2 linked regions of the Mus musculus genome follow. The protein of the gene in region 2 purifies or fractionates together with the protein of the main gene of each other region. This does not show direct contact. Links are inferred from orthologs where the notes say so. Each region holds a gene or a part of one and is shown on either strand. Other genes may lie near its edges.

What was found. The genes of interacting proteins can lie anywhere in the genome.
Region 1: the proteins of Wdr62 (region 2) and Cep170 purify together in Homo sapiens (affinity purification with mass spectrometry; 3 studies listed by BioGRID and IntAct, with this or other methods). This does not show direct contact. The link is inferred for Mus musculus from reciprocal best matches to the Homo sapiens genes WDR62 and CEP170.

Annotation. Positions count from the first base shown.
Region 1 is NC_000067.6:176,756,889-176,763,013, reverse strand, and holds part of Cep170 (centrosomal protein of 170 kDa), read left to right. Parts: intron 1-1,513; coding exon 1,514-1,663; intron 1,664-4,496; coding exon 4,497-4,617; intron 4,618-6,030; coding exon 6,031-6,125.
Region 2 is NC_000073.6:30,252,125-30,258,249, reverse strand, and holds part of Wdr62 (WD repeat-containing protein 62), read left to right. Parts: intron 1-102; coding exon 103-194; intron 195-2,319; coding exon 2,320-2,445; intron 2,446-3,996; coding exon 3,997-4,064; intron 4,065-4,145; coding exon 4,146-4,267; intron 4,268-5,858; coding exon 5,859-5,934; intron 5,935-6,125. UniProt on the Homo sapiens protein: Required for cerebral cortical development. Plays a role in neuronal proliferation and migration.

The DNA of each region.
Region 1 (6,125 bases), on a different chromosome or scaffold from region 2:
TTTTAAGAAGCCAAACTTATATCTGATGCAATTAAATATCTCCAAATCAGAAACTATAAATTGGCATGCCATACTGATGCAAAATGTAAGAAATTATATATGGTTATTTTTTTACCTTCAAATGAGTTAGATTTTTCTAGTTATATAAAAATAACAAAATGAACCAGTAAATTTGAAGTGAACCATTTTGTAAAAGTCACACATGAGCCACTTCAGCAGCTAGTGTTGCTTTCCTTATAAATCAGGGTAAAGTGACAGAACACAGGTATACCTTCTTTGTCATGCTTAATCCACTCTGTTGTTTAGGAAGGTGAAGCAAAGAAACTGTACTCCCATCTATACCCTGGTTTCCATGTACTATTAAAGGTCTTATTTATCTTAAAGTTAGTAACGTGCAGCCTGTACGTAAAGCAAAGATAATTCTAACCAAATTCTTGGGGGAAAAAAACTTGTCTTTAAATTAAGCCATAAAGCCATCTAGTGGTAAAATTTTCACATTTCACTTATCAGATCACTTTATGACCATCAGTTTCTTTTTTCTGTGTCTTGGTGTAGCAGGCATGCCCAACCTACAGCCTTTGCACTATATATGTGCCAATATAGCTATGAATACACTCATATGCAAATGAGAGTCATGTGTCAGTGTGAAAAGAGTTGGCACCACTGAAAGTGGTATTCTCTTATAAAAAGTGGAGGTCCTAAAGGTTATTTCTACAGATTACTAGTTCAATGATATATGTTTTTATTGTAATAAACAAGTTCAAACTGAATAGTAAAACGAAATGTTAAATGTGATTCACTATAGCTTTTTTTTTTCATCTGTTTGCAAGGTCTAATATCCAAGTCCCTTCATGTGCCAGAAAGTAACTAACACTGAGGTCTTGCCTGATGGGAAAATAAATTGGCATGGCTATTGTCTCTGTGCTGAGCTTTTCAAAGTGCTGACCATTGATAGTCACTAAAGTTGATCTGTGTGAGTAGGTCAAGAACCTGCATTTCAGACAAATTACTATACTCTGTTTGAAAATCATACAGTGAAATTTGTTTGGAACCATAGGAAATTATAGGTATAAATGCAAGTTATATATGTAAATAACCATTTTAGTGAAAAAACAAATAAAAAGAGGCATGTGTTTCTGCTCTCTAACGTGCTTCTCCAAAATGGAAACAAGAAACAAGCTGAGAGTGTGCTCGAGTATTTTCTTGACTCGTTCCATGATTTTAATGTTTAATGTCAAGTCCTTTAAACAAATCTAATGTAGTATTTTGAATATTTAGTTTCATCAGCTGGAATATTTGCTAACTATTAAGGATAGTCACATCTACAGCTGCTGGCTTCATGTCCAGTCCAGCTGGAAGTCACCCTGTCATTACACAAGTTTCCCTTGTTTCTGAAATTGCCAGCTGAGGGTAATTTAGAATTTTTTTTTATTTGCTTTTGATGCTGTTGATATTCACACACTAATCTGGTGCCCACATTTATTTTCATTTTGAAACAAATTTTTCCTTCTAGGTATTTGGAGTAGATGACAATCAGGATTATAATAGGCCTATTATCAATGAAAAGCATAAAGGTCTCATAAAAGACTGGGCTCTCAACTCTGCTGCAGTAGTAATGGAAGAAAGAAAGCCATTGAGTACACCTGGGTTTCATAACTCAGAGGTATGCAATTCTTTTTATAGCATAAAATACAAGTTTTCATCATTTGGAAGTTATTTTAAGTATATATATCTCCCCTTGTGAAATGCTTAAAAAACTAAATTTGGACTTTTTTATAATTTTGAATGAAAATGTAAAGCAATTCTAGTTTTCATTGTCCTTTCAGTGTTAGTGAGTGAAATAATTACAAATCAGCAAACACGTAATAAGCTCCATATTCCACTTTGTAAGTAGCACAATGAGACAAAACAAGAAATATACCCTGCTTATATTCTGTGGGGGTTATGTGTTTGCAATTAGAAGACTGAGCAGGAAACATGAGAGGGATACACTTGATCGCTGCAGTAACAACCAGTGTGGTATCCTGGATGTAAGGAGAGTCATGTAAGAACAACTGATCACTGATGTAAGAGCCAGTGTGGTACCCTGGATGTAAGGAGAGTGATGTAACTGAGGACAGTTTGACCACATAACTATGACATCAGAATTCCATTCCAGTCTATGTAGCAAAAGGGAATATACTTGCATAACACCTATGTTACTGGTTCAGATAACAGGCAGTGACTTCTAGTGGAAGCAGCCTTCAAGCTGTTTTAAAAATAAGGAAAATGCAGTGCAAATTAACTTGGCTGCTATCTTAAATCTTGTCATTTGTAAGGCCAGAAACCTTAAATGACTTTGATTTTTTTTTTTAAGTTTGAGGTGAGCACTGTGTGTGCATGTGCGTGTGTGCATTCACGCGTGTATGTTGCACATGCATGTGGGAGCCAGAGGAGCACATGCATGTTTTCCTCTATTACTGTCTGCCTTATTCCTTTAGGACAAGGACTTTGACTGGGCTGCCCAGCTGCTTGCCTTTACTGTTGCTGCTGATGTCACAAGCACACACAGTCATGATCAGCTTTTTATGTGGGTGCTGGGAATTTGAACTCAGGTTGTCGGGTGCTCTTAATCACTGAGCCATCTCTCCAGCCTTTTTCTTAATTCATCACTTTACTCTTTAGATTAATTTTCTCTAAGGAGTAAGTGAGTGATGAATAAATATAAAATGTAAATAAAAGAAAATCCAAGTTACATAACATTACTATTTCATTTATATTCCTACAAATATGTTTTTAGGGACAGATAAATAGATCTGTATGCTCAATAGTGTTAAAATTGTTACCCTGCGGTTTGCTATTTTCTGAAAATTGTTAGAACAATTACAGGCTTTTAGTGTTCTTTATTTCTCTTAAACTTAGGGAAGTTTTATTCTAATTTCTGTTTAATTTACTCACTGAAAACAGATGATATTAGTAATGATATCAGGCAGTGTGTTGGTATTTTGATAAATCCAGGGAAAGGTTTTTGTAAATTACTTTAGATTCCCTCGTCTCTCTTCCTCCATCTATGCCAGGTAAAATTCATATAGTTCCAGTAAGTTACTGTCTTTGTAGCCATCGTGTAACAGGCCATTAGAACAAAGCACAACATGCCATAAGTATATAATAGTGAAGCCGCTCTGTTGTGGATGCTCTTTGCACAGTGCAGGATCATCTGGTACTGTCTTTGGTGCTCAAGAGTTATAGATGGGGATTGTAAGACCTTGGAAGGGAGTCCAAGAAGTCTGCTAACTTTGGTGTCCAGTTTGTCTATATACATCTTTCTCTACATTTATTTCAATCTATTCTTGATACCATACAATATATTGTCTACATGAATCATTACTTTATCAGTATCTAGCATCAGTTTGCTCATAATTAACACAGTAACTTTTTAAAAAAAGGTATATTTAAATAGCTCAAAATGAACTTTTGTAGTTTTATATTTTTAGTGTGAATGGCTGCCTGAGTTAAGGTTTGGGTGAGAGGTGTCTTTGTTCTTTACAGTACTAGGGATTGAACCTGCCTTGTACTTGCTAAGTGAGTCTCTACCACAGAACTATATATCCCCACGCTCCCTTTCTGTACGTCACTAGGTTTCACAGGCTGATCCCACCTCTGATTTCAGCTTGAGATAGATAACTTTTATATTACCCTCAGCCTACAAATGCTAGGGTATGTCCATGAGTTAAGGGATACACACTTCACTAGAAGGGTTCAAAGACAGATAAAAACATAGATGGGTCTGGGTACAGACTGGGTATAGCAAATTTCATAGTGTGTTATTTTCAGCTTAAATATCATAGAAATACCAGGCTTTGGTTTCCTTTTTTTAAGATTTATTTATTTTTGTTTATATGAGGACACTGCAGCTGTCTTCAGAGACACCAGGAGAGAGCATCAGATCCCATTACAGATGGTTGTGAGCCACCATGTGGTTGTTGGGAATTGAACTTGGGACCTCTGGAAGAGTAGTCAGTGCTCTTAACTGCTGAGCCATCTCTCCAGCCCAGGCTTTGGTTTCTTGAAATCTATTAAAATATAACCTAGTATATTTGATAAGTCTTGAAACCCTGAAGCCAGTCTGATTTCTTAGAAAGTATAGGACTAACAGGTAACTTTAATTAATAACCCTTTAGATTCTCTTCCTTTTAATGGAATAAAACCAATTGCACTGGGCTAGCTGCAAAGCTGTGATTTGTGTCTGTCCTCCTCTGGCAACAGAATAACTGTTGTACCTAGTACCATGTTAGTGTATAAGAAGCACAGGAGATTGTATACTCCGTTCATAATAAGAATACATTGTGGTTGAACGGAACAGCTAGAGAGCCTTGATTGAAGAATCAATGCATCATAACAAGCTGAGCTTGAGACATGGCTTCTGTGTCACATGCTGTGACTGAATGAAGTTCTCGCTCATGAAAATGAGCATTGGCAGGGTTGTTGCATTCTCTCTCTCTGTTTTTCTCCTTTAGGAAGCCATATCTTCATCTGGAAGCAAACGTTGGGTTTCACAATGGGCTAGTTTGGCTGCTAATCATACAAGGCATGATCCAGAAGAAAGGTTAATGGAATTGTCTGCAACTGTAGAAAACGGTAATTTCTCTCTCCTCCTCCATGTTTACCTCTTTTCTCTCCCCTCCCTCCCTCCCTCCCTCCCTTCCTCCCTCCCTCTTTTAGTGGACCATGTGTATTTAAAAACAAAACAAGCTAAACTTAATACAGTTAGAAGTAAATTAAGCTTAAATGAAGTAAACTGAGGACTAGTGTATATATTATACAAGATGCTATGCTATGCCACCTAACCCCAAGTCCTTTTTCCTTAAAAACTTTGGTGTAGTTCATAAATTGAACCTTCCAAAGACAAAAGGATAACTACTAAGATTTAGTATTTCATTTTCAGACACTCTGCTTTTTTATTGTAAATTTTTGCTGTTCAAGTACAATTTTAAAACTTCAAAAAATTAACCCTTCTTGATATGCCAATCTGTTAGAAAAATATGTAATTACCATTATAGTGTAATCATAAAGATAAGGTAATAATTTGCACATGATTCATATATGTATGAATTTATATTATAAATTAAGGTGTCAAATATTGATTTAATTATTTTCTATTTCATTTTTTAGTAATAATGTTACCTTGTACTACATAAGTATATAGTATTCTAAATTATCAGTTTACACTTAAAAAGCTTTACAGTTAATTTTACACATTAAAATGCAAAACAAAGACTCACATATGATCCCTTCATTTTTAAATTCTTTCAAATATGATCAAATTTTTTTGTCTCTGTCTTATCACCTCAAAAGTATTCACTTTTGCATTGGGATCTACTAAATTGAAAAAAAGAAAGAAGTCATTTATTTTAATAAGCTGCCTTACTTAATATACCAGAAAATTATGGTTTAACAGTCCCTTGGTTATAAAATTATGACAAGTCCTGTCACTTTTTACTATTTTCATATTTTCTATTGATACGGATTGTCTTAGGGTTGTCCTGCTGTGAAGAGACACCATGACCAATACAACACTTACAAGGACAACATTTAACTGGGGCTGGCTTACAGGTTCAGAGGTTCAGTTCATTATCATCAAGGTGGGAACATGGCAGCATCCAGGCAGGCATGGTGCAGAAGGAGCTGGGAGCTTTACATCTTCATCTGAAGGCTGCAAGGAGAATACTTGCTTCCAGGCAGCTAGGATAAGGGTGTTAAAGCCCACCCCACAGTGACACACCTACTCCAACAAGGCCACACCTCCTAATAGTGCCACTCCCTGGCCCAAGCATATACAAAATATTACATGGAATTTTTTTTTAATGCCTTGCTAAAAGCTAAGATATTTTGCCCTTTTTTCTTTTCTTTTTTTAGGAAGTACAAATTTTTCACAGAAGGCATTCATTTTATACTGAGGATATTTTTAAACTTATGCTGTAACTAGTAGACATTCCTTTTATATGTGTCCTTTTGCTCTCATGAATTTCTGCTTTGATATTTTTATTTTAGAGACAGATACTGGTGACGCTGGTGTTTCCCTAAGAAGTACTAGTTGTACAACTTCCTTGGCTAGTCAGGGAGAGAGGAAGAGGCGAACTCTTCCC
Region 2 (6,125 bases):
GTGGTTAGGCATCTCAGACTACTTGACATGATAAGACTGCAGTACTGCCTAGAGCCAGGCCAGGGCTTGTGGGCAGGGTACAGTTGGCAATGTGTCTTCCAGGATCCACGAGCTGCACTTCATGGATGAGCTGATCAAGGTGGAGGCCCACGATGCTGAGGTGCTGTGCCTGGAGTACTCCAAGCCTGAGACAGGTGAGCCCACAGCATGCTGAGGTCAGGCGGGCAGAGCCACAGGAAGCAGCAGCTAGTGGGAATCTTCAATAAGAGCTCTGTTGCTAGACTCTGGACCACATTGGCTTGGGTTCCACAAAGTAAGACAGCCAGGGCTCATGCTGGTCTCAGAACCTCATCAGGGCCCGAGGTGGCGTGTGAGTGAGGATGTGAGTAAGCTCGTTATCTGCTGGAGGGACGGACTGCGTGCTCCGCGTGCCTTTTAAAGTGTTAAATTGCTACAGAAAGATTGCCAGGAGATTATAGCAAATACACACAGCCCTTTCATCTAGATCCAGGTTTCTCTTGTAAATGGAGTCTAACCCTTTGACTGTGCGTGACTTCCTCTGCTTTTCTCTCCTGTTGCTCTGTGGGTATGCGAGTGCTACATGCAGATCAAAATAAGAGCATACACATTTTATTTTTTTGCAGGGTGATGTAAAAGTTCAGGCATAATGTCCCCTGCCCCTCCCTCCCCTCAGAAGAAGACATCTGCATTTGTATGACTGTGTTAGCGGTGTGGCTCAGTGCCGGAACCTTACCTGTCATTGTAGATACCCTGGGTCTCATCTTGGTCACGTGTATCCATACATGCATGCACGTGTGTTTATATCCATTTATATGCACACACATATGGAACACTGTGCTACACTTATCAAATATGTGTATTCCACTTTGATACCATGATATTTATACAATGGTTCTTACTCAAATTTTGTCTGTTCCTAAGTACTGTCTCTAATAGAAGCATTGTTTCTCATCTAGGTTCACATGTTGTAGCTGTCTTGGCTTTATTATCGTCTTTATTCTGGAGTACTTCCCAGTCTTAACTTAGTATTTGGACTTGGGCTTTCTGCAGTGTACAGGCCAGTCATGTAGAGTTTCCCTCCATGTGGGGTTTGTCTGTTTTCTTCATCTTTTGGTTCAGACAATACACTTGGAATATCCTGTGTTGAGTGGCTTTTGTGCTGCTGTAATGAAATACCATGACCAAAGATCATGTACAGAAGAGAGAATTTATTTTACCTCATGCTTCAAGAGAGAGAGAGAGAGAGCGAGAGAGAGAGAGAGCGAGAGAAGCACTCTACCCTTTATGTCAGGGAAGGCCTGGCCTGTGACAAGAACAGGACATCAGCTGATGATCTGTCTGCACACAGGAAGCAGAGAGAGCAGGAAGTAGGGTGAGGCTGCAAGTCCTACAGCTGATCCCTGGTGACTGATACCCTTCCAGCAACACGGCGAGCTCCTGGAGGCTCCATTACCTCTCCGTATGGGAGGACCAACTGGGAACCACGTGTTCAACCACGTGACCTATGGGGCCATTTCTCATTCGGACCACCACATTATCCAGTTTAGATGGAGTTAGATCCTACTATAGCATGACGATTCTCAGTACCAACCTTCATTCTTTCATCCTCCACACGCTGCCCACCAGATTCTCTTTCAGTGTCTCTTTCCTGAGCTAGCCCAGCCTCGGGCGGTGTTATTAAAACTCTACTAGGGGGCTGGTGAGGTGGCTCAGCGGGTAAGAGCACTGACAGCTCTTCCAAAGGTCCTGAGTTCAAATCCCAGCAACCACATGGTGGCTCACAACCACCCATAATGAGATCTTATACCCTCTTCTGGTGTGTCTAAATGAATATTTAAAAAACAAAACAAAACAAAAAACCTCTACTAGGTGACCAGAGCAGGCAGAGTCTGAGAGCCAATAAAGAGGAAGAAGGCCCAATGAAAGGATTGGCTGAAAGTGGTCAGCAAGGCCTGCCTGGGGTCTGGGTAGCCAAAACTCAGAGCTGGACCATGGTTTAAAGTGAGGCTAAGAGAATGCATGGCAGCCCACAGTAGGACTCACAGGAGGAGTGCTGTGGTATGCTTAGGTACCTACTGCAGATAAGTGTAGTACACACACACAAGATTTGCCTTTCCTAAACTGGGGCTCTGGGAAAAGACTGTCTGGAGTCCAGGACTTGGCCTGTCTTGGTTTGGAGCAGCTTAGGTGAAGCTCTCAAGCCAAAGACCCCCTTCTCCAAGCATTGGACATCTCAGTCACCTGCTTATCTGGGAAGTAGAAACATTGTTAGCCCAGGCTTGTCCTCTCCACTTACAGGAGTGACTTTGCTGGCTTCAGCCAGTCGGGACAGACTCATCCATGTGTTAAACGTGGAGAAGAACTACAACCTGGAGCAGACCCTGGACGACCACTCCTCCTCCATCACAGCCATTAAGTTTGCTGGTAAGCTCTTCCCTCCCTCCTGCAGGCCCCCAGCAGATGGGGCTCTTTGTTTGCAAGGAAGCACAGTCGTGCCCTGTGGCCTGAGAGAAAGGAGTATCAACCAGGGGAATCTAAAGACTGATTTATGATTTACTGAAAATATCAGTAATGCTACTTTAAAAGTGATTGGGAGGCCTCAGCAGTACTGTCTCGAACCTTTAATCCCAGGACTCAAGAGGCAGAGGCAGGCGGATCTCAGAGTTTGGGGCCCACCTGGTCTACAGAGTGAGTTCTAGGACTGCCAGGGTGACACAGAAAAACCCGGTCCTGGTCTCAAAAAGAAAAAAAGGACTTGTTTTGGTTCACAGTTTAGGAGAAGATAGAGTTTTGGGTAGGAAGACATGACTGCAGAGTAGGAGACAGTATCCACAGTCAGGAACAGAGAGGTGCATGCTGAGGCTACTCCATACAGGGCTGCCCCCATTCAGGGAGGGTCATCCCGCCTTGGTTAAACCTCTGCAGGTTTCCTCACAGTCACCTGCTGTGTTACAGAGGTGGTTGATCTGGTACTGCAGCTGTACCAGCACAGAGGCAGAAGAGATGGCTCAGTGGGTAGAATCCTTATAAGTAAGCATGGTGATTTGAGTTCCAATCCCTATCACCCACATAAAAAGCTACCTGTAATCCCAGTGTTGAAAGTGTAGAGACATGAGGATTCTTGTGAACTCCAGCTTCAATGAAAGATGAAGACCTAGATAAAAAAAAAAAAAAAAAAAAAAAAAACTAAGGTGGAAGAGGCAGACACGATGGCTCAGCTGGTAAAAGGTACTCGCTGCCAAGTCTGATGACCCTGGAACCCACATAGTGGAAGAGAGAACCAGTTCCTGCAGGATGTCCTCTGACCTCCACATGCACACTATACACTGTGTGTACAATAAGTTAATGTTAAGAAAAGGTAGACGGAGACAGGAAGATACCTGCTTGAGTCTTTTAACCTGTGGGATCGTGGGCCTATAATCTCACTACTTGGAAGTGGAGATAGGTAGATCCTGTGCAGCCCACACTAGCCTCAGACTTAGTGTGGAGCTAACTAAGGATGACCTTGAGTTGATCTCACCTCTGTTTCTTAAGTGCTGGGATCACAGGCATGGATCACACACACGGTTTTCACTTGTTCTGATTTATCTTACAGTACTGTGGCCTTGAATATACTAAACAAGGGTTGTACCAGTGAGCTACATCCCTGGCCCTTAGTTGTTCTTGTTTTTTTGTGACAGAATTTCCTATAGCCAAGCTGGCCTAGAATTTGAGTTCCTCCTGCCTCGGCTGCCCAAGTGCTGGATTACAGAGTGCTGGGGTTGCCAGTGTGCACCACCCCCCGTGTCCTGTGTGCCCATGCTCTGCCCAGACCTGCCTCACACAGTGTCTTAGAAGGCCTCCCACCAGTAGGAACCTTTCTGATCCTAATAGAGTTGGTCGCTTGCCCTGAAGTAGGATTTCCTAGCTTCCCATTTGCCTCCTTCCTATGTAGCATAGGGTAGCCCTGTCCAGCCCCTTCTCCTCCTCTTCCAGGCACCAGAGATGTCCAGATGATCAGTTGTGGAGCTGACAAGAGCATCTACTTTCGCAGTGCCCAGCAGGTAAAGTGGGGTGGCCTCCTTGGGGACTAAGATCAGGATCTTGTCAGGGGTGCCCTCTGAAGGTCTTGCCTGCCCTGCCAGGCCTCGGATGGACTGCACTTTGTCCGTACCCACCACGTAGCAGAGAAGACCACCTTGTATGACATGGATATCGACATCACACAGAAGTATGTGGCAGTGGCCTGCCAGGACCGCAACGTAAGGTGAGGAGTTCCCTGTGCCCTTTGTTGGCCTGGCCCCGGCTTGCTTCCAGCTTGGCCTAGTAAGATCTTGCTTGCTGACTGTCTTCTCCCTGAGGAGACACTGCCTGCTTTTTCTCACTGTGCATCTGTTTCTGGAGAAGCTGGTAAGGCTGATGGACCCCGCCTTTGTTTCTTAGATGTGCGCTTCAAGCAGGCAGGTATTATACCTACTGTGATAGCAGTTCTTAAGCTGGGATGAGGTCACTCTTCAGAAGAGCTTTATGAGGAGAGCCAGAGGCTCTTGGCTGTAGGCAGCCATGTGGATAATATGACAGAGGTCCCAAAGGCAGTGGCAGCCTTTCCGTTTCCAGAATATTAGGAGAGGCACAGCCTCATGCTAGTGTGATGAGATTTTTTTTTTGTTTTGTTTTGTTTTGTTTGTTTTCGAGACAGGGTTTCTCTGTGTAGTCCTGGCTGTCCTGGAACTCACTCTGTAGACCAGGCTGGCCTCGAACTCAGAAATCCACCTGCCTCTGCCTCCCGAGTGCTGGGATCAAAGGCGTGTGCCACCACGTCCGGCTGTAATGAGATTCTTAAAGGGAGAGAGAGCTGGAGCACTAGGAGAGTTAGTGCAGTCTATGACGAGCACAAGAGAGTCAGTGGTAGACCCTTCCATGCCCAGAGTGTTAGGTCTAACATAGGCAGCATTGAGGGGCCCCAAAAGGAGAGACGGGCCTTTCAGTTCTGTAAGACAACGTAGGTTTCTGAGGGGCTCAGGGTAGGAGGATTCATGTGCCCTAGAAGTTACACGGCACTGATAAAAGTAGTTATAATTGAAGGCTGTCTCCCAGCTGTCTGAGGGAGAGAGAACTCAGCTCTGTAAGAGTCGCAAGGTCACAGCAGCTCTGCTCTGTAGCTGAGAAAGACTGCAAGAGGACAGAGCCTCTCTTCAAGGGGAGGAGAGTGTCAGAGGATCCTGATCCTCATAGCAGTGTGTGCCTGTAATCCCAGCACTGGGGAAAAACTGGGGGTTCAAGGCCAGCCTTAGGTACATAGCAGCAAATTGGAGGCCACCATGACCTACACAAAACTAGGTGCCTCCAGCAGGCTTAGCCAGCAGCAGCCCTGCAGACTGTGGCTCTCCTGGGTCTGTGCGGACAGAGAAGTCACAAACTCCTCATAGCTTACTTAACTGTCTCACTGGGCACGAGAATGCTGCTGTCACAGTGGGGCCACAGTAGCCCAGCCCTCCATCATGAAGCTCAAAGTCCAGGAAAGTGCACAGTGGTCAGGCCTGAAATGAAGGGAGCCTTGGGAGTCCTGAGTGGCCTGTAGGAGGGTCAGGAGTTGTCAGGGTTAGTTAGCCTGGGGAGTGTGTTCTCTGCTTCCTTCCTGGCTCCTCCTGCCTGGGGCGAAGCCCTAAACTTGCTGTGTGAAAGGGAGTCGATGCCAAGTCAACAGTGCTCCAGGACATAACCTCTCTGCCGGAGGCGGGGCTCCCTCCCAGATGTCATGGAGACTGGAAGAAGCAGAGGCTTCTAGAGCAGAGGGCAGCAGGGCCAGGAGGAAAGGAGGTGTCTTCTGCTCCAACATGGCAACCCCACTTCCCCAGGGTCTACAACACCGTGAGTGGGAAACAGAAGAAGTGCTACAAGGGTTCCCAGGGCGACGAAGGGTCCCTGCTGAAGGTGAGGGTGAACCTCAGACATAGCCCCCAACACAGCCCCCACTCTCTGTTGTCCGAAGGTCTCTGTCCTTGGTGCTTATTAAACACTTGCACTGAACAGTGCGTACTCAGACCTGGCTAGCCAAGGGTGCTTGAGTGGAGCAGAGGGAGGAGTCCTCTTGCTGAATGCACTGTAGTTTGGGTGACCGTGGG